Tamandua tetradactyla: one gene and its partner. The protein of the gene in region 2 purifies or fractionates together with the protein of the main gene of each other region. This does not show direct contact. Links are inferred from orthologs where the notes say so. Each region holds a gene or a part of one and is shown on either strand. Other genes may lie near its edges.

What was found.
Region 1: the proteins of SLC34A2 (region 2) and ENDOD1 purify together in Homo sapiens (co-immunoprecipitation; 3 studies listed by BioGRID and IntAct, counting the BioPlex papers as one, with this or other methods). This does not show direct contact. The link is inferred for Tamandua tetradactyla from reciprocal best matches to the Homo sapiens genes SLC34A2 and ENDOD1.

The regions. Positions count from the first base shown.
Region 1 is NC_135334.1:47,905,445-47,916,033, forward strand, and holds the start of ENDOD1 (endonuclease domain-containing 1 protein), read right to left. Parts: upstream 6,385-10,589; 5' UTR 6,305-6,384; coding exon 5,996-6,304; intron 4,482-5,995; exon of another isoform or gene 4,330-4,481; intron 3,544-4,329; exon of another isoform or gene 3,394-3,543; intron 1-3,393. UniProt on the Homo sapiens protein: May act as a DNase and a RNase. Plays a role in the modulation of innate immune signaling through the cGAS-STING pathway by interacting with RNF26.
Region 2 is NC_135345.1:25,877,929-25,888,517, reverse strand, and holds the start of SLC34A2 (sodium-dependent phosphate transport protein 2B), read right to left. Parts: upstream 5,967-10,589; 5' UTR 5,735-5,966; intron 1-5,734. UniProt on the Homo sapiens protein: Involved in actively transporting phosphate into cells via Na(+) cotransport.

The DNA of each region.
Region 1 (10,589 bases), on a different chromosome or scaffold from region 2:
TGGAAGTTCTAGGTTTCTGGAAAGTTATTCTAGTGCATGGAACCCTTGTGGAAAATTATATACTGCCCTAGATGTTTGAAGCTGGGATTTTTAGAATGGTATATTAAGAGCAAAGTTGTAAACCATGCAAACAACTTGATTAATTCAGTAAAATAAAAAGAAAATTAAAATCTAGACACTCAATTTGTAATCTAGAAAGAAAACACTGACATTTTAATTGGAAAGCAGCATGGTAGAGAAGAAGAGAACTAAGATCTTTGGAGTTGGGCAAACATATGCTCCAATGCAGGCTTCGCCATCTAGTAGCTGTGAGACCTTAGATAAGTTTAACTACTCTGAGTCATAGTTTCCAAAACTAGAAAACAGTATCTACCTGGAAGAGGTGTAATATAGATAAAATAAATTAATTTGTGAAGATCTTGCAATTAAATAAGGGATCAATAAATAATAGTTCCTTTCCTGGATTTTCCAAATTTGGGCCTGAACTAAAAGAATAGGGTAGAGAGCACTCACCACTGGACTGTTTCAGGAAAAAATGTCTCTAAATTTTCTGCTAATATAAGGAGAGTACTTTATCAAAAGAATAACCTGCAAATCAAATGAAAATACTGAATTCAAAGATGAGGAAACAGCCAGAAAAGGAGAAAAGGGTAGAGAAGGACAGCATGGATGGCCCCTCTCGGTGCTGTCTGCACCCCAGTGAGGAAGAAGTCGTGAATGATTTACTTTGGAACTAGAGATCAAGCACTCTCCAGCCTTACCCAGGCTCAGGATAATAGACTGGAATGTTATTGTTCTCTGTTTTATGACAACACACCTCCTGGTTGCTCAGGAGAAATAGGGTGGAGGTATATTTGGCACCTGTTTGTTAATTACTTAACTCTATCCATCTATCCATTCATTCATTCTCTCACCGTATACTTTTTGAGCACCTACTGGATGAATGTGGGACAGCTGCCAAGCACTTGAAAAGATATACCAATGGATGTCAAAATCTGGGGCCTGACCTCCATAGCTTACATTGTAGGAGAGATTTATAGAATTGTAGGATCAGCTCTCTAATCCTACATTCAAGTGTGTATGTGCATTTGTGTATGCCTAGCACCTATTAAGGTAGTATCTTAATAAAGGATATCACATTAATAATTATCAAGAGTTTTCCAGGTTTCAGACACTGTGCTACATGCTTGCACGCATTTATCTTGTTTATTTGACACAACCACCCTATGAAGTAAACATTATTATTACCTCTAATAAACAGATCAGAAAAATAAGGCTAGAAGAAGTAAGGTCACACAGTCGGCAAATGAAGAACAGGGCTCTAAACCCAAGCCTCTTAACTAGGAGATAAGAGTCCTGTTTGGTGCATCCCTTACATAGAGATAGAAGTGTATGATATGTTCATATATCTATTCTCTGACACAATGAAAGATATTAGAATGAACAAAACAATGTTTCTGATTGTCTCAGGATATGTAAGCTACTGATGGAAATTAAAGATCAAGGACTTAAAAGTCTAACTTGTGACAACTGTTCATGTGTCACTTGCTAAGATGTGAATTATGACCTCATTGGGCCCTCTAGGAAAATGCTTTTGCTCTCAAATAGAAAATCCCCTTCACACGGGAGCTACTGACACCCTGAGCTATATTTGCACGGCCAAATATGCGCTACTACTTATCCTACAATTGTCAAGAAACAGAAATCAGAGTAGAAATTCCATATAAAATAAGAGAACTAAAGTCCTAAAACCATTAATGTAGTGGACTCCCCTGTGAGGTCAAAGAATCTCCATGCTGTATGAAAGAGCACTGGACTAGGAGCAATTAGTCATGAGTTCAAGTTTAAACTGTGACCTTAGGCACATCAATTAATCTCTTGGAGCCATATCTCTAAAATGAAAAGAGTGATATTTAGTTTGGTAAAATTAAGTAAATGTACGCTCTTAACTGCCTATAAGGCCATTCCTTCCAGTGTTCATATTTATAAAATGAGAGGTTCTTATATGTTAACGTCTCACATGAATTGACAATTCACTTTGGAAGGCCATCATGGGTCCCTCATCCAATAATTCTTACATTAAATGGAAATGAGTTGAGATACTGAAAGGTATGATACTCCCTGCACTAAATCAGAGCCTGGTTCTCAGGACTCCAGAGTCTTGACTAGAATCTTCCAAACCTCCTCCATCACATTAGATGGGGAATCGTTTTCTCATCTCTTCCTTGCCTTCTCCCCATTTTCACTTTAAAGGTGACCACATACATCCCACATAAAACCCACACAGCCCTCTGTTTTCTCTCCCTCTTTTAAATTACCCATTTGGTCCCTCAAAAGGTCCTATTTAAATTCCTCCAACGTGGGCAGGCGTGGAATCTGGCATACAACACTGGAGAGCCATTATGCAGTGGAGATGCAAATCATTTGGCTTTGTGTATGCCTAGCACCTATTAAGGCAATATCTTAATAAAGGTATTAAGGGGTGAACTTACAGAAGGTTCCAGTTCTGCTTATGGAACATGTTTGTATCCATGGCTGATGGCCAGCTATGGGGGAAGTTTCTAAAGCTGGAAGCTCCCCACAGAGAAAGCTCAAGCAGAACATCTCACCCCCTGCTACCTGACTTATCCTCCTACAATCAAATTACTGCATCCAACATGTACTTTCCATGTGCAAGACGCCAGGAACACAAGAATGAATGAGACGTATTCGTCAACCGCAAGGGCTCAAGGTGGGAGGACACATACATAAGCAGGTAATTATGAAACAGTGGGGTAAGCACAGAGATAGAGAAACTATAGGGGCACAGAAGAGTGAAACCATAGGGGCACAGAACTTAAAACAAGAGGTGGACATAAGCCTGGTAGGAAATTCTTTCTGGAGGTGTTGTCTTAGCAGAGCCTTAAAGGATGGAGCACGGGAAAGAAAACACAGAGGCAGTATAGAAGGAGCATTTGAAGCAAAGGGAATCAGCAAGAACAAAGAAACAGACACAACAAGCAGCATAGTTTATGAGAGGTTCCCAAGGCAGCTAGAACATAAATGTGACAGTGAGGAGTGAGAAACAAGACTGGAGCTGGAGACAGGACCCAGATCATAGAGGGCCTTGCTAACTACATTGTATAGTCTGAACTTTGTCTGGTAGGTGTCGGGCAGCCAACACCTTAAAGGCTTTAAGCATGAGAGTGACTAACTTTCTATGATCTTTAAGAGCTTTTTTTTTTCAAAGAGAAATTACAGGACAGTCATGAAAGCAGTTGAACTGGGCGTTGGGAGTGTGAGCCAGTCCAGCCGGGTCTGGTTGCATATAGCCTCCTGAAGTCTCCTCTCTCCTCCTCCCCTGTCTGCCGGGCCTCTTGGTGATGCTGACCTCATAAAAAGGTGAAGTGGGCACAAAGCAACTAGCATTGCAAACTGCTGCAAAGCAGCCAAAAGTACACAGTGAGCCCAGAGTATCTCTCTGCAGTGGGGATCTTGGCTCTGAGGCAGCCTCAAGGAGCAGATAGGTTTGCTGCAGTGGGTGCTGAAGCCTTCTGGACTCTGGTAGCAACACCTCCCTTCTTTCCTTCCCTCCCCCCCTCCTAATGACCTCTCATTCCTGACTGACTTGACCTGAGTTTGGGGGCAGCAAACACATCCTGCAGGCAGAAGCATCATGCTGTGCTCAGCCACTCTTGATCATTCTGACCTTGCTGGCTGAGAACTCTGGCCTCCTGGAATTTTCAGAACTGCTGTACATCTTCACTCTTTTTTCTCCCCAGCGCCATTTCTCATTACCCTAACCCGGGACCCCACACCTCCACTGTCTATGTGACTTGGATGCATCTACTCCTTTGGCAAATCAGGCTTCTATGAGTCCTTCAGTACCTGCATAAATGGCTCCTGCCTCCCTAAGCCTCCCTCGAGAACTTCCTACCTGACCCTTTCCTTCCACTATTCCTCTTTATTCCATACACTTGAATAGAGTGTAATCTTTCACTTGTATTAGTTTAGCTGCTCCAACCAGTCCCCACACACGAATCCCTGAAACTGCCATACATTTCTTACTCATGATGTCCCTTCTACTTGAAATGACCTCTTCCTTCTTTTCTCCCTGCTGAATTTAGCCTCATCCCTCCAGGCACAGCGCCAATGTCATCTTGACCTTAAGGCTTTCCCCTCTCACCTAAAAGATGGATTAAATCTCATTGGAATTTGTTAACAACTATTAAATTATAGAGGTTTTTTCCTGCTTATATCATAATAGCAGCTAGTACTTGGGTGACAGCACATCTTTGAGAATTTAACACATAATCAGGTATTTAATGTTGACAACGCCCTATGATGTAGATGCTGCTACTATCTCCAAGTTAACCATCTCAAATGGAGGAACCAGGATTTAAACCCAGGCAGCCTCGCTGACCAGATGCTGTGTCAATGCTCCATCCAGAAAGCTCCAATGGCTGCCCGGAGGCCCTGACTTTCTCCAGCTACACTCTGAGGTAATCTCAAGTATACCTAACACATGATAGGCAATTACTAAACGTGCTCTGAATTTAAGTGAAATTTGTTTAGCATGCCCCATGTCGTTCTCCTGTGTATGTTCTGTCTCCCCAAAGAGACCACGAGCTCCTTAAGGAGAAAGGATCAGGTCATTTATTTTTTTCACAACCCCATAGTCACAAAGCATAATAAGAACCTGGGGAATACGGTGAGAGCTCCAGGGGTGCAGTTAGAGAGCAAACTAATTTTAGATTAGAATACCACTTAAATGTGTATAATTTACAAAGGCTGTTTCACATGCCTGATGGCATAGATCCCTGACATCAACAGTGAGGAAAGCAGAATGGAGGTAGCAAAAGCACAGATTGCTTGAGACCTGGTCAAGATCTCAGAGCTAGAAACATCTGAATGGGCTTACCACCCAAGTCTTTTTGAGTAAAGTACAGGGAGGACAGTCTCCTGGTCACCAATGTGGTCCTGGGCAGCTGTGGCCATCAGGAATGGGCAGGGCTGGGGTGTTGGCTTCTCCCCCAGCTAGGGCGGTCTTGGAGGGAGGAGCAAGGCTGGGTGGCCCAGTGAGCAGCCAAACCTACCAAAGGGGACCCTGGCTGGATGATCTAGAAAGGGGGACCAAGGAGCAGAGGTATGGCAGAGAGGCAGGTTCAGCAGGGCCTCTGGGGGCCTCTTGTAGGTCACCATCATCAGACCATAGGGTCATGATTTCCAAGTGGTCTGATAATATATATAGGGAGAATTAGGGAAAACTGATTTGTCCCTCCCACCAAATGGAAATAGTCAGTGTTTCCCAATTAATTATAACAGTTCCATTGCATCTTTAAAAATCTGTTATTTTATAGTCCTAACTCAGAAGAAAACTTAAAATAGCATTTACTCGAGGTCGTGTGTAGAAGAGAAGGATTTTCACTCGAGGAAAGATTCTGCAGAACGGAAGTTATTTCCTGGTAGAAAGGGCGGTGAACTTGTAGCCAAAAGATCTGCCCCAGCTTCTGGCTGGGTGGTCTGCCGCAAGTCTCTTCACCCCCCTGAACCTTGATCTCTTCTACTGTAAACTCGAGATGAAAATGCACCGCACCGCACCCCCCCCCCCCCCCATAAAAGTCGTAGCAATAGCCTGCGCCAAGGCCTATAAGCGCCCAGCCGAGGCTCCCTGCGCAGGGATTCGTCTCCTGGATTTGTCTCACGCTCTTCACCATTCAGGAAACGAAAGAGCCGCTGCAGATGGCTGCGCAAAAATGTAGGGAGGACCACCTCCCACTGGGACCTCCCGCCCTTGCTACTTAAGCAAAGCCTCGCAAAAAGCCAAACTCTGCTCTGGCTTTGACAGGGGGAGAGGAAGCCGTCCAGTCTGGGGACGCTGCGGGGTGGATCTGAAACCCGGGTTTCCCGACCGCAGGCACCAAAAAGACTTGGGGGCTGCCTTTCCCAGCCCTGCCCCTCGGGGTGGCTGCCAAGTGTTTCTGGAAGGAACCCCCAGCGGCACGCCCTCGCTTACCTGCGGCTCCACCAGCCAACGCTGCTCGGCGCCGCCAGCCCCCGGCCGCGCCGCGCGGAACGCCGAGTACACCGGGATGCGGTCGCGGGTGCTGTAGAGCGTGGCGAAGCGCTCGGCGCCCTCAGAGCGCTGACAGATCTTCACGTGGGACTCGGCCTCCAGGCCCGCAGGCGGGGTGGCGGCGTAGAAGAACTTGTTACATTCGCCGAAGCCGGCTTCCTCCTCGCCCACGACCCGGCCTGCTAGCTGCCGGGCCAGGGCCAGCAGGCTGCCCAGTGCCAGCCAGCCTGCCCAGCGCGCGGTGCCCATGGCTGCCTCTCCGAGCGGCCGGCCGGGCGGCTGAGCGGCCGCAGTGCGGGCTCTGCGGGCTGGGCGGGAGCGGGCAAGTCCGCCGCGACGGGCTGGGAGGGGATGTAAGAGCGCGGACGCGGCGCGGGGAGTGCTAGGCGGAGCCCCAGCGGGGCGGCCCTGGCGGCGGGGGCGGGTCAGCGTCTCCAGACCGCGCCTTCCTCCCTTCCTCGGTCCCTGAAGATGGCTGCAGAGGCCCGGGACCAGGCTTGGGGATGCGGGCAATGTCCCCGGGACTGCACTTGGGCCTAGAGACGCAGGTCCCCTGCCACTGCACCACCTCTTCACTGCAGTCCGCGGGGACGCCTGATCCCAAGAGTGGAAGGTCGCAGCGAGGTCGGCCTAGCCAGAAGGACAGGGAAGGAACGACCACCTGGGTTGAGGACCGAGAAGCCTCCTAAGCCCACGCGCCCTAGGGACCCTCAGGGATGCAAAGGAAAATTTGGCGAGATAGCCATGGAGCTGTGACTCTTTGGAGCGGACAGAGACTCCCCCTGAAATCTAATGAGGATTAGTCTCCCTCTCCCCACGGAAAAGCACAACCACCCACTCACTCATGATTTGGATGCAGTTTGGGCTTGTCAGAAGCCCCAGCCCAAGTTAAGAAATCCTGTTATAGAAAGTTGTGTGTAGGTACCCAATACAGCCTACTGTGGTTTACCTAGCAACCGCGTTACAAACATAATCACTACCGAGAATGGAAGGAGAACAAGCAATATGGTTTGGTAGGCTGGTTGAGTCATGCCTTCTTCATTCCATCAGTTGGTAAGTCAATAAACTGAGCCCTGCATGCTGGGCTGGGTTAGGGCCTGGGTTACAGTGGTAAACAAGAATAGGATCCCTGCAGGAGGGAAGATACAGCCTAGTGGGAAAGCTTTTCATTAAATAACCAAGCTGTTGAAGGAATAATTTAAAACTGGACCCATAAGGGGACAAGATGATATAGTCTGGGAAGGTTTGCTGAACAAGTGACTTCTGGGCTGAGGCTTGAAAGATGACATTAACTAGGCAAAGAGGAGCATGTGCAAAGGGATCTCTCAGCAGAAGGGGATGTGTCATGTTGGAGGAACTTAGGGACAGCTTGGGTGGGTAGAGAGCAGAAAACTGGGAAGAGAGTATGAGAGGTGGGTCTAAGGAAGGAGGCAGGTGGCATATCATTCAGGGTTGTATAGACCAAGATTTCAAATGTTTTACAAGAGAGGGTACAGCCAAGGGTAGTTCAGTGGTCAAATTCTCACCTGCCATGTGGGACGCGCGGGTTCCATTCCTGGCCCATGCACTTCCCAAAGAAAACAAACAAAATATTCAACAAGTGGTGCTGCAATACGGATACTCACATGGAAAAGAATGAAATGTGACCTTGCCATACAGCATACAAAAAAGAAATGGGTTTGTAAATGTTTTAACAAAACACACAATGAGAAAACAAATTTTGTGAAATAATACTTATGCTATGGCTGATATTACAAGCTGTTATTTCTATTTTAGTCTACATTATTCCACTCTCTTTTTTAAGTACTGATGGCAATCCAAAAAATTGTTTCTCATTGGCAGAGTTCTCATCTGCTGTGCTGGAGACCCAGGTTCAATTTCCAGTGCCTGCCCATGCCAAAAAAAAATTGCTTCTTTGACCCACCAATGGCTTATTACCTGCAGTTTGGAAAGCAGTATTATAGATCACGTGATAGGTTTTTGATCTTTCAATAGTAGTGACACAATCACTTTTGCTTTCTGGCTGGAGGATGGAGGATGGGAGTGGTCCAGAATGAAGGAAGAAAAACTTGCAAAGATCCAGATGGCACAGGTGGCTTGGCTTAGGATGATGGTAGTAGAGATAGAACCTGGGCACCTAGTCTGGGCCAGGTACCTTTATTTAACAACTTATTGTTTAATCATATTTGCCCAGTGCCACATAGGGAACTGAGGACTGGAAAATTTCAAAGACTTGCCTCTGATGGCACAGCCAGTGAGTCCTAAGTCAGACTTGGAACAGGTCTGCCTCATTCCCAATCCTGGACTTTTCTCTAAGTCACAGCTGATCTGTAAAGTGAGGCTATAAAGTAGGAGGCTAATTTTCAGAACAAATGGAGTTTAAGAACAAATTCTTCATAGGTACTAATGCCTAAAAATGTTGACTAGGTTTGGTCTCTGAAGTGAAATCTAAATTCGTATCTTAATTAAAATAAAAGACAGTTTCTGTGATATCATGGAAAGAGCTAGACTTGGTGTCTCTCTTGACTTGAGATTGAAGTCCCTGGTCATCTGGTCCTAGTATCTCAGCTAAGTCATTGTACCCTTGTAGGTCTCTGTCATGGGGCTTATACCACTCCTGGGATGCTGTGAATTCTGGGTGTTCCCCAACGTTGATGCATGTTGTTGACTGTGAAGAACTATACAGATCAATGGCATCAACGTGGCAGCATAAGACATCCCCTGAAAAAGTCTCCCCAGAGATTTAGCAAATAAGAGGAAATAGTCACTTGCTTAGAGCTCCAAAGGACAGTGGAGACTGGGGAATGACTCCACAAATGCTGTATCAAAGAAACAGAAAAATCTCAAGTAGGAGAATTCTGTCCCAGACCACCGGTGGGTTCTCATTTCCCCTCCCCCTCACTTGGTCCTGCACGGCCTGGGATTCACACAGAGGCCCAGCTTCCTCCAACCACGGACAGAGACTGTAGACCCATTCACAGCCGTTGGTTAGAACCCCAGGCACGGGGATCTAAGTCCACAGAGACCCAGGTGGAAGGCTGCATACAAAAGGGTCCTGGGCAGGTAGGTGTATGGGGTGGGGTGTCATAATAAAAAAGAGAGAGAGACCACCATAGAAAGCTGGTAAGAGCTGTTGTGACCTCACGAAATGCAGTTCAGTTCGCTGAACCACCTAAAGGCAAAACAGACTTCTCTGAAGTAACCCACCTTTGGCATCCTGGAGTGGGAAACCCTAACAGAGAAGAAACCAGAGGCAGGAAAGTCTCACAGAGGACAAACAGGGAGAAGGTAGTGGCTTAAACTGAGCTGTTGTAAGAACGTACAGATCCCAGAACTGAAAAGTATGAGGAAAATGGGACCCTGAGTGAGGGAGAGAATTTAAACAAATTGTAGGACCTGGGGAAAAAAGTTTGCACAAAAGCAAAGAGAAAAGATCAAGATTCCTGGAAAAGGAATAGAGGAAAGGAAGCTCTCTTTTGAAGATGAAAAACAATTGCACAAAAAGTGAAATCTCAAAAATTGCACTGAATATCCAAGGAACGAATCAGATGAAGAGCTGAGAAACTCCGAACAGGTAAACATAGGCTATTCTAAAGGTTTAAAATAAGTTAAACCAAGCATCAAAAAAGAGCCTTAACACAAAACCAATCAAAAATAAAACCCTAGACTAAAGGAAGAAACAAACCCTCAGAGTTAACTGATAAAGATAATTAGATGCCTCGAAAACAGCAAAAAATTACAATCCATACTAAGAAATAGGAGATATGGCTCAGTCAAGGGACTGAATTAAAATTTTGGAGGAGACTCAGAAGTTGGAACAACTAATAAAAGATGTTCAAACAGATCTCCTAAATCTATTCAAGGAAATGAAGAAAAATATGCAAAAAAGAGATAAAGATATTAAGAAGACAATGTGTGAACATGAAGAAGAATCTGAAAGTACAAAAACAAACATAACAGGGAGGGCGATGGTGGCTCAGTGGCAGAGTTCTTGCCTGCTGTGCTGGAGACCCAGGTTCGATACCCAGTGCCTGCCCATGCAAAAAAATAAAACGAAACATAACAAAAATTATGGGATGAAAGGCACAATAGTAGAGGCTGAAAGTATAGTAGAGGTATACATCAGCTGATTTGAACAACCAGAAGAAAGATCAGTGAACTAGAAGATAGGAAAATCAAAATCATGCCATTATAATAACAGACAAAAAAATTGAGCCATTTCTCGGGGATTTGAGTGGCAGCATGATGCACACAGACAGACATGTCATGGGTGTTTCAAAAGAAGAAAAGGGAAAAGGGGCAGAAAGAATATTTCAGGAAACATTGACTAAAAACTTCCCAACTCATATGAAAGACATACATATACATATTTAAGAAGCAAAACATCCTCCAAATAAAATAAATCCTAATAGACCTACTCTGAGACACACACCACTCAGAATGTCAAATGCCAAAGATCAAGAGGGGATTCTGAAAGCAGCAAGAGAAAAGTGATTCATCACATACGGGGGATCTTTAATAAGTTGAAGTACTG
Region 2 (10,589 bases):
ATCGGTCTGAATTCTCTGGTTTTCTCTGGTCTTGCCTTTCTCCCTGTCCCCAGTATGTGCTACATGGATGACTCATCTGCACTCACATACTTGGGTGTTATCTTTCATTGAGCTCCCCATTTGATGAGCACCAAAGAGGGACTTGATGGAATTTGATTATCTCATTCAATTGTTATGCAAATGAGCCCAAAGAGATTAGCAACTCTTTCAAAGTCCTCCAGTAGGTGAGTGACAGTTTTACGCAGGTCAGGTTGACCTGCCAAAGAGGTGGGTGCCTCCATCCAGGAGGCACTGGGACCCTGCTGGGGGAAAGAGGGTGAAGGCGGGGGAAGGGGGTATCAAGCTATGACATAAACAGAACTCTTCCTGGAGCATTGATTTTTATTTAGAGGGAGTGTTAAATATTTAACTGTATGTTTGGGATATGATATTTATGTGGAGGAAGCTGATCTGGAGCAGGGCTTCTCAACCTTGGCATTTGGGACCAGATAATTCTTTGCTGGGGTGGAGGAGGGTGTGGTTGTCCTGAGCATTGTAGGATGTTGAGCCACACACATGGTCTCTGCCTCACTAAAGGCCAAGAGCACAATCCCCCCTCCTGGTTGTGACAACCAAAAATGGCTGCAGATATTGCCAATCACTGGTCTAGAGATCTGAGAGACTGGACTGTAGGCCCCAAATGCCAGATTCAAATCCAAGCCCTGCCATTTGTTGCATGACCCTGGGCTAGCTCCTTGGACTCTCTGTACCTCAGTTTCCCTAAATGTAAAATAAGAATAATAACAATACCTGCAAAGGATTGTGGTGAGGAGAAACGTGTTATGTTTTGAAAGTTCTCGGAATGCTGGCACAAGATAACCCTCATGTGATTACCATTTATCTTCAAAAATAGCATGAATATATTATAGTATAGAGTGCAAACTTTATATGAATTAAAAAAGTTAACAGAACAAACTTTTTGGTGCTTGCCATATGCCATTTTGAGCTACCCACAGATGTCCAGAGGCCCATAGACAGGCTCTTCTGCTCTTGGGAGCACTTTGATGGGAAAATTTGAAAAATACTGTGATCTTTTACCAGCTCTTTTCTTATAATCTTCATTAACTGTATGATGGTTTTCATATCCCTTACAGTGACATCTGTTATGTGTTTTCTTACAGTGTCTAGTACACTGTATGTAGTAGATACTTTTTTAATGGAGGAATCAACCCGTGGGGTTCACTGAAGAAATGCACTGGATTTCATGTTCATTGTGATGTGTAAACAGCTCAAGGCTCAATCTTACTGATAGGTGGCTTCCCTAATCATCAGATGCAAGTAGGGTTGACCAATATATGTTGGATGGAGCAATTGTCGTGAGGACGTGCAACCTGGACATTGCAGCAGCCCCACTTGGGAAACTCTTCTCGGTACAGTATGGAAAGCTTAAGAAGGATTATTTGCCTAAATTAAATCTTGTCTTCCTGATTTCTATCAAAATAATTTCAAGGAACAAGCAACTCTCTAGTGGATACAAAAGCAGATGCTATTATGGTCCAATGTTTTATAAGGAGCAAAAGCCTTAGAGCTAAGAGAATTCAGATACCCCTTGCATCAAACTGTTCAGAAATGAATAGGATGCACTGGCAAAGGACCCAACATGCCAAAATGTCAGGAATACTTCCTCTGAGGTCCGTGCTGGCTTCATCCACTAACACTTATTCACTTAATATTGGTCAGCATCACTAGAAAAACAAGGGAAATTTCTATCAACTGTGTGCTCCTCCTTCCTAAAAGCCTTGATTTCCCTCTTCGAAGTGCCATCATTTTTCACAATCCTGTTTCCTCTTGACTAACACTTCCTCAATGAAACAGTTATTTCCCCTCACTTAGCAGTCGATTTTCTCATACATTCATTGACTCCACCATTATTTCTCGAGTGCAAGACCTTGAAGAGACAGAATACCACATGCCCCGGCAGCAGCCCTCATGCAACAGGTAGCCGAGACAGTCAACCGACTGAACAGCCCAGGGCTCTTTGAAACTGTGGTCTGCCCCTCCTCACCCTCTCCACCCCCAAGCTTGAGTTGCTCCTCCTGGGAGGTGGAAAGCAAGAGAAAGGTAGGGTACCTGGAAACTCAGAAGCAGGAAGGAGAGAAGACACTGGCAGCTGCCCCTTGGCATGGGTGCACAGGCTCCATTCACTAGCCCTTCTGGCCAGGAAAGCCCCAGCTCTCTGTACAGGCCTGGGTAGGGCAGGACCTGGGAGCCAACTCCCCAGGGTCAGCCCCATGACATGGCACCATTCAGGGGATCCTCCCAGCCTCAGGGGTTGCCACTTTTGCTGATATCCTAGAGCTAGCACATGGCACTAAGTGAGAGTAGACCAGGGCCAGCTCTGCAGATGCACTGTGTGCCCCTGAGATGAAATGCTAAACCTCTCTGAGCTGCCAGTTTCATAATCTCAAAAATGGGGACAACCTGGTCTCCCTCAGAACTGTTGGGAGGATTAATTAATGTGCATAGGTGAAGCCTTTAGCACTGTGCCTGGCACAAAGTAAACATCAGAACTTTGTGAAATGAATGAACTGCATCATGAACGCTATGAAGTTTTGCCTTAGTGCCAGTCCCTAGGTAAATATCTTTGCAACACATGAACACAAAGCACCTGAGAGAAAGGAGCTAATGTTTGCTTTATGACAGGGGAGTGCCCTATACAGTTTTTGTGACCTCGTTAATTCTCATAACAAGGAAGGGGTTCTTCTATCCAGTTTACAGGTAAAGAAACCAAAGCATAAGAAACTCAATTCAAATCCCACACCTAACTAGGGGTGGAATCAGGATTTGAACACAGGATTGCTGGAGCTAAGACAGAAAGAAGAGGAATCCTAACCCCTTTCAAAGTACCAGAGTGCTCAGGGGCTTCAAGTTCAGGCTCAGTGAGGGTTTAGGGTGTTGAGGAGAAAGCAGGCTGGGCTGGTGTGTCTGCAGGACTCAGCCCTGCCTGCTCATTCAGATGACTAGAAATGTCAGCCAGGAATGCCATAATGACGGGCTGTTGAGCAGGGGAGGCAGTACCAAATGGGCCGGACAGAGGATGTAGCGCAATTCTGAGGTCATCCTTTCCAGGGATGTGGCAGACACAGGCCTGAACTGGACCTGCCTTTCCCAGGAAGGGGGCTCTGAATACCGACAAGGGGTCCCTGGAGCCTTTGAACTCTCCAAAGGCTTTCTCCCTTCCCAGACCCCCAGCCCAGCTGTTGTCCTGCTATTCCCTTTCCTCGCCCTTCCCAAGGCCACACTCCAGCTTGCTGCCTGCCCAGTAGCAGAGAAAAGTTAAGGAAAGACACACACAATTTTCTTGGCAATTTGGTAATAATACCTGTGTCTTCAATGCCTGCCCAGGAAAGAGGTTGGTGGCTCTCATGAGGCCTCCAGGTTTCAGAGGGATCACTCATCCATCTGTGCCCTTGCTTCCTACCAACGGTCCCGACAATCGAGCTGGCTGTGCTGCTGACCTCCAACTTCCTACAGCCACCTGAGTACCCAATGCCGAGAGGAACTCGGCACTCATTCTCTCTGGCAGGCCAAAGAGAGGAAAGTTCTTGGCTCCTGTACCTAAGCTGCTGGCTGCTCAAGCAACATTGTTTGAGCCTCTCCAACCAGGACCTGGCCTGGGGCAGCCTGTGCTGGCAATGGCATGGTGGGAGAGAAGAGGGGCGAGGTGGTGGCAGTATGGGGGCCAGTGGGCCTGCAGGGAGATCCAGACCCAGGAGCTGGCCTCCACAAGGGCAGGGAGGTCGAACACTGTGTCCCCAACACAGTGCCTGGCATATAGCGGCCAGCCAATAAAAGTTAATTGCACACTTATTTTGTGCCAGGTACTGATCTAAGCCCTTTACGCAGATTAACTGATTTAATCCCCTAAGTACTTTGTGAGGGAGAACCAACATTGTCCCCATTTTACAGGAGGAAAATGAGACAAGAAACGTTGATTGCTTCAAGTCACACAGCTACTACGCCCTCAGAGGTCGTTCAAACCCAGGTGGTCTGACTCCAAGGGCCATGCCATTTGTAAACTCAAGAAACGCTTTCCTGTGCTTTGAAAGACTTCAAAATTCCCAAGAGGGTTATGGCTACTTTTCTTCAGCTTCCTTTAACTATCACAAGGAAAAATAATCCCCATGTACACAGGGATCATGGGAGCGGGGATGCTATAAGCAGAGCACACGAGGAAACAATTGACCTGGACATCACTGAAGAATGGCTTAGTTTAGACTTCTGATGAGAGGCACTAATAGGATATTTAAAAAGACATTTATCATATCACCTTGAACTTGGGCCCCTTTGCCGAACGCTCATAGCATTTACATTTAAATAATCAACCCTGCCTTAGCCTGCAACTATCAGTTATTTGTTATCATATTATGGGGCTAAAGGGTTAATTTGTAAATGTGAACATTCAAAACATCTTATAATTTTTTTGCAACCCTCTTTTTGCATTTCTTATCACTTCTGCAATCACCTAGACCCTGTTCTCATATCAAGGGGGAACTGTTTCAATGAGATAGTTGAGTGATTTTCAGGGTGGGCGTGGGGGGACAATTTGTTTAGCATCCAAACCTTTTTACAAAGCATGCCAGTCTTGCTGCCAGTTCCCAAAGTTACAAAAATAGAGACAAGATCATTATCAGCTGGTTGGCTGGCACCAGGAAACAATGACTGCTACTAGTAGGCAGAACTCTTCCAGGTACACCCCTCACAGAACAGGTTCAAGAGTGTGTCACAGGGAAAAGGAAAAGCAGAAAAGAGAAGAAAAAGGAGGCCTGGAGCAAGCCCTGCGGACACAGAAAACTCTTGGTGAGTCTGTACAGGAAGGGAGGGGGCTTCGGAGAAAGGCACTCCACAGGCTGCCGCCACAAGCTTAACAAGCTGGAGGAAAGCTGCCCCCCTTTACCCAGGAAAACAAGAGCTTCAAACTCTCAACTCAGCGCCAGCTATTCCTGACAGGGATCTGTCCTGGTAGTCTGTAGGATGAGTTAATTCCATATAAACCTTTCTCCCTATCTCCGGCCTGAGTAGGCACCCACCCACCCAATCCGACCACACCGGGCACCTTTCCCTGCAAGCCGCTTCCCATTTCCCTTGGCCACTCTTTTTCTCCCAAGATAGCGGAAAGCCATACCCATGGCACATGAGAATAGCAAAAAGCCAGACTGTCCCTCACAGTGAGCTCAGGTAAATAACCGCAAACAAGCATCATGGCTCTGGAAGCCATCCTGGGGTGGTGGGGTCGACCCTGGAAAGATGGCCCCTTTCCTCTTCTTGTAAAGACAGGAAAGCTTAGGCTGGGGGGCTTGCTGGGACCCTGGGATCTATCTGCCTTTATGACCCAGCCAAAAAGAAAGCTCCCCCTCTTCCCAATTCCATTACACCATCCTCCTTCCCCAAACCATGATTCTCAAACCATCTGTAATTCTAGAATCCCCAAGCGTGGCTGATTACTAGCACTATTACTACAAGCAGTACTTGCAGTAATAGTGCAGTAACAGAAGTAATAATCTCAGCAACAGCAGTAACATGAAGAAGAAAAAGAAAATTTGAAAAACTTGGAAAGGTTTTTTATTTTCTCTTCTGCTGTTCAAAGTCAGGTTCCTTGAGGTCTTCATCGAAGGAGCTATCTAAAAGAATTTGAGTCACTTAAGGCAGTTTAAAGAGAAGGAGGCCCCCTTGCCCCGGCGGCGGCGGTACTCACCAGCGCTCCCTACGCAGGTAAAGGGCTGAAGGAGGCACCCAGGTAGAGCGCGGCGCCCCGGGTATATATAGCCAAGGTGTTGCGCAAAGGGGCCGGCAGCTGCTGTCATCACGTCCCTCGCACATTCCAGGACGGCCCGCCGCCGCCGGGGAACTGCCTACCTGCCGGCGTGACAAGCCCATCGGGACCTCGCCCGCTGCGCTGAGGCCGGGCAGGCGGCCGGGACCGCGGAGAGAAGCCGCGCACGGTCCCCCGCCGCCGCCGAACGGCAGCGAACGTCCCTGCGCGCCCCGTCGGCGCCCCGCGCGCCCTGGCCCCCTGCTGGCGCGCGCCCTCGCCGCCACCCAGCCCCAGCAGACACGGGGCGCTAGTTGGACGCGCTATCCTCTGCCTTCTCCTTCCTCTAAGAACTAGTTCTTCGGAGGCTGAAGAGTCCGGGGAGGTTGAGATATTGAGATACAGAGAGAATACACCTGGAAACAAGGCGAGCATTTGTTAGGTCTTATCACTGTTTGGAGGAGTCTTCTGCCCTGGGAGCCTGACTTGGAGCCTGGAGTTAAGAGACCCGTACTACTGGGAAAGGCCTGGTCTGGCGGGGCTGAGCAAGGGGAGAGTCGGCTCGCCCTGAGAACTCCCTCCGCGGGCCTAGGGCTCTTATTTCACCGCCCTGTGTGTGTGTCCTGAGTCTCCACACATAACCTTTCTCCATCCAAGCCCTTCTCCACATTAGCAACAGCCATCCAGTTGTGTGCTGGGGAAGTCACCCGTACACACACAAAAGCTTCCCCTGGGGCTTAGATTAGTTCCCTTTTGCAGCTGAGGTTAGGGAGGGTTGGGAGCATGACACAGGATAACAGGATTTAGCTGAGCTGGAATCAGACCTGGGTCCAACTCCAAAAGCTCTGGGCCTTCCCTCACCATTCCATACTGTTTTTATACTGGAGTCAGTGGGGCCTAGAGAGTTTCCTAGTTGCCCTGCTGTTCACAGCTACTAGGTGGAAATCCCCACTGGAACTCGGTTGAATTTCGTTGCAAAGTTAGGAGTCCCTGTGTAGGGAGAAGAAATTAGGAGAGCTGTTTCTAGGAACCTGCAGAGCCTGGCTCTTTCTCAAGCTGAGAGGTCAATGGTGAAAGCGCACTGACTCTTGTCAACGTGTCTGAATCAATTCCTGTCCTGCCCCCTTGCATTCCCTGCCTCTGTTTGCTGGTGTGCAAAATGGGAATAATGGTTTCTATAGGCTAGAGGAAAATGGGCTAAAATACCTGAAGTGCACAGAGCAGTAGCAGGCATGTAGCTTAATGGGGAGCACGGGTTGGGAGAAACTGGGTGGAAGGATTTGATAAGACTCATCAGGAACCTTGAGAGTATGTGTTCTACACAACACTCTCTGGAACCTGGGTCCAGACCCAAGGGCCCGTGGACGTATGAGCTTGGCGAGTGGGCACTGGAATCAAGTCGGTCTTGGCTGCTCATAGCAGAAGGATGATGATTTGCCAGTGGGTGCTGGACTTAAAAGCCAACCTTGGGAGACCTTTCCACTGAGTGAATTCTAAAGCAGAGTCTACAGATGGCATGGTGACAGGAATCCACCAGCATGTGTTTGTCAAGCTCAGCTTTGTCTCCAGCCCCGGGCACAGACATGACATGGGGCTCATGGGGCGCAGGACTTAATTGGACATTTATCCTGACAAGCGTCCCACAGTGAATGAGGACTTTGATGTAGGGCACGGATCTAATCTCATTCACATCGCCTTTATGTCAGTCCAACAAGGAACTAATGTAGAGAGACTTCAATTTCAAAAGCTTGTAAAGAAAAAAAGACGGTTTCCCTTTTATGTTCCAATTGGAAAGACAAAATACGGATTTGGTCCAGGTGGCTTTTCTTTTTCTATTTTTAAAGGTATATTGATCTCAGGATAGATCAGGGATGGTATCTGTTTGATTCTTGATTATAGTTTTTGGTACTACTTTTTGTACAAAGCACGTGTGTGCACATGTGGGTCTCCAATCTTTCCTTTTAGGGGAGAATAGTTTGCTGAAGGATACTTTCCTATCTTTTTTCCATCTCAGATATGAAATGCTCCTACCATTTAGTACCCAGAGAGCCTATATGTTTACATCATGCTTGTAAAGTACTTTCACATGCATCGTTTCATTTTTTTACAACTCACTTTAGTGCAGTGTTTTGTGCCAACTGTTGTCCTTGCTATAATGTGGAGTTGATTGAACTAAGTGGTATCAATAATGTAGAAATTGCAGCCTACCCAGAGGCCATGAGACTGTTGCCCAAGGTTACAAAGCAATGAGCAAATACAGGCCCACAATCCCTTAGTGAACCCCTGGGGCTAAAGGTGTTTCAGAATTTAGAATTTTTCATTTTTAGAAAGTAAAATTCAGATGCTGTCTATTAAGTAACATCCCAGTGTGGCCCAGATAGCACCCTGCAATCAAACCCATTGTCATTTTTACTCCAAAAATGTGTAATTATTGATACTAAGTTCGATATATAAATAAGATTGATATATAAACAATGCCATGTCAATTCAAATGCGTTTCTAAATTGCAGATTAAAGATTGTGAGCCATAGTATTGAATGTTTAAGATGTGCAGACACTGCTCTAAGCACTTTACTTACATTAAACCTTTTAATCCTTATATTAAATTACCACTATGAACTAAGCAAGAAAACGGTAGCCAAGAGAAGTTAGATAATTCAACCCCAAGGTCACAGGATTAATAGGTAGCAGAGTAAGATCTGAACCCAGGTGGTATTACTTAATCATAATCAGTAAAGCTTTCTTCACAGAGATATTTGGTTGCTGAAAGGACTGAAGGTGAGTGGAATGGGATAAGATAGAGAATCCAGAAACATGTGGACACTTGATTTACAACAGAAATATCACTGCAGAGCAGTAAGGTAAAGATAATCTTAGCAGTAATGGACATCCCAGTGGGAACAAAAACTTGATTCATACTGTACACAAAATCTATTTTAGGAAGAGCTGATTTTATCTAAATATAAAAGGCAAAACTATAAAACTTGAAGACAATATAGGCAAATAATTTCATAAACTCAGGGTAGGGGAAAGACTTCTTAGACAAATAGGATACAAAAAGCATTAACCATACAGAAGATGTACAGAAGATGTGGGGACCCAGATCCACCCCTGCACACCCATTAGCCGCCTCCATGACCTGGGACCAAAGTCACCTACTTGATCTGGGAGCAAAGTCATCAGAACCTTCCCCCCACCCCGCCCCGGGGAGGGGGGTGGGACATACAGTGTTATGGTAAACAAAGCATTAAAACTCCCCTCCCATAAGAACGAAGGAATGTCATTGCTGCAGGGTGTAGAAAATAGATGGTAATTAATATTTTAAAATTTAACTTATTTATGAAACTAAAACAAAAACGTTTATTTGGTACAAAATTTATATTTGACTAGTGAAGTCCCTAATAAAATTTATGTGGACAGCGTAATTGAACACCCTAAGTACATGGAACCTTGAGTAGGGCATAAGATTTTGTAGGTTTGTCCAGAGTGATGCCACAATAAATCCCAGAGTGATTTGAACAGTGAGTAAAAAAGTATTTGCAAAGTCCCCTTCGGGGAATGGTGAGAAAGGGGGAAATTTCAACTTCCCCAAGTGGAGAATTCTGGATATTCTCACAGGCAGTGGGCACAACCAAAGCCATAGGCTGAGCCCCCAATCTTGGGGTTTGTTTATATGAAAATTAATCCCACAAAGGATAGGTCAAGCCTACTTAAAATTAGGCCTAAGAGTCACCCCCAAAAGAACCTCTTTTGTTGTTCATATGTGTCATATCTCTACAGCCAACACAACAAGCTAACTCACTACCCTCCCCCTGTCTACGTGGGACATGACTCCTAGAGGTGTGGACCTTCATGGCAACATGGGACATAAATCCTACAATGAGCTGGGACTCGGCACCAAGGGATTGAGAAAAACTTCTTGATCAAAAAGGGGAAGAGAGAAATGAGACAAAATAAAGAGTCAATGGCTGAGAGATTCCAGAGTCGAGAGGTTATCTTGGAGGTTATTCTTACACATTAAATAGATATCACCTTGTTAGTCAAGGTGTAATGGAGAGGCTGGAGGGAAGTACCTGAAAATGTAGAGCTGTGTTCCAGTAGCCATGTTTCTTGAAGATGATGGTATAATGATATAGCTTTCGCAATGTGAACTGTGTGATTGTGAAAACCTTGTGTCTGATGCTCCTTTTATCTACCTTATGAGCAGACGAGTAAAACATATGGAATAAAAACAAATATAGGGGGAACAAATGTTAAAATAAATTTAGTAGATTGAAATGCTAGTGATCGATGAAAGGGAGGGGTAAGGGGTATGGAATGTATGAACTGTTGCAAATGTTCTAAGAAATGATCATGGTGAATATGCAACTATGTGATGATATTATAAATTACTGATTATATATATAGAACAGAATGATATGTTAAGAATGTTTGTGTTTATTTGCTGTTATATTTTAAAAATAATAAAAAAAAAACCTTCCCTCCCACGATCACTGTTGATAACGAATCTTCACACTCAGTGTCATAAGACCCTGTGGAAACTCCGTTCTTCTACCTTATGGAATGTCTTTGTCCCAAACCCTTATAACTACCCATGCCCTCTCCCATGGCACCCACTGCCCTTTATGACCCACTAATGCCATTTTTAGTTCAACCAACCAGGGACCCTCTCCTCTTCATAAGTCCTGTTTAAACTCATGTCTAACTCTGTGCCTGGCATGTTCTTCGATCTTGGGACCGAGCTGGGCTGGAATGACAGGTATGCGGAACTACACTAAAGTTAAGACTGTCTGTCCAT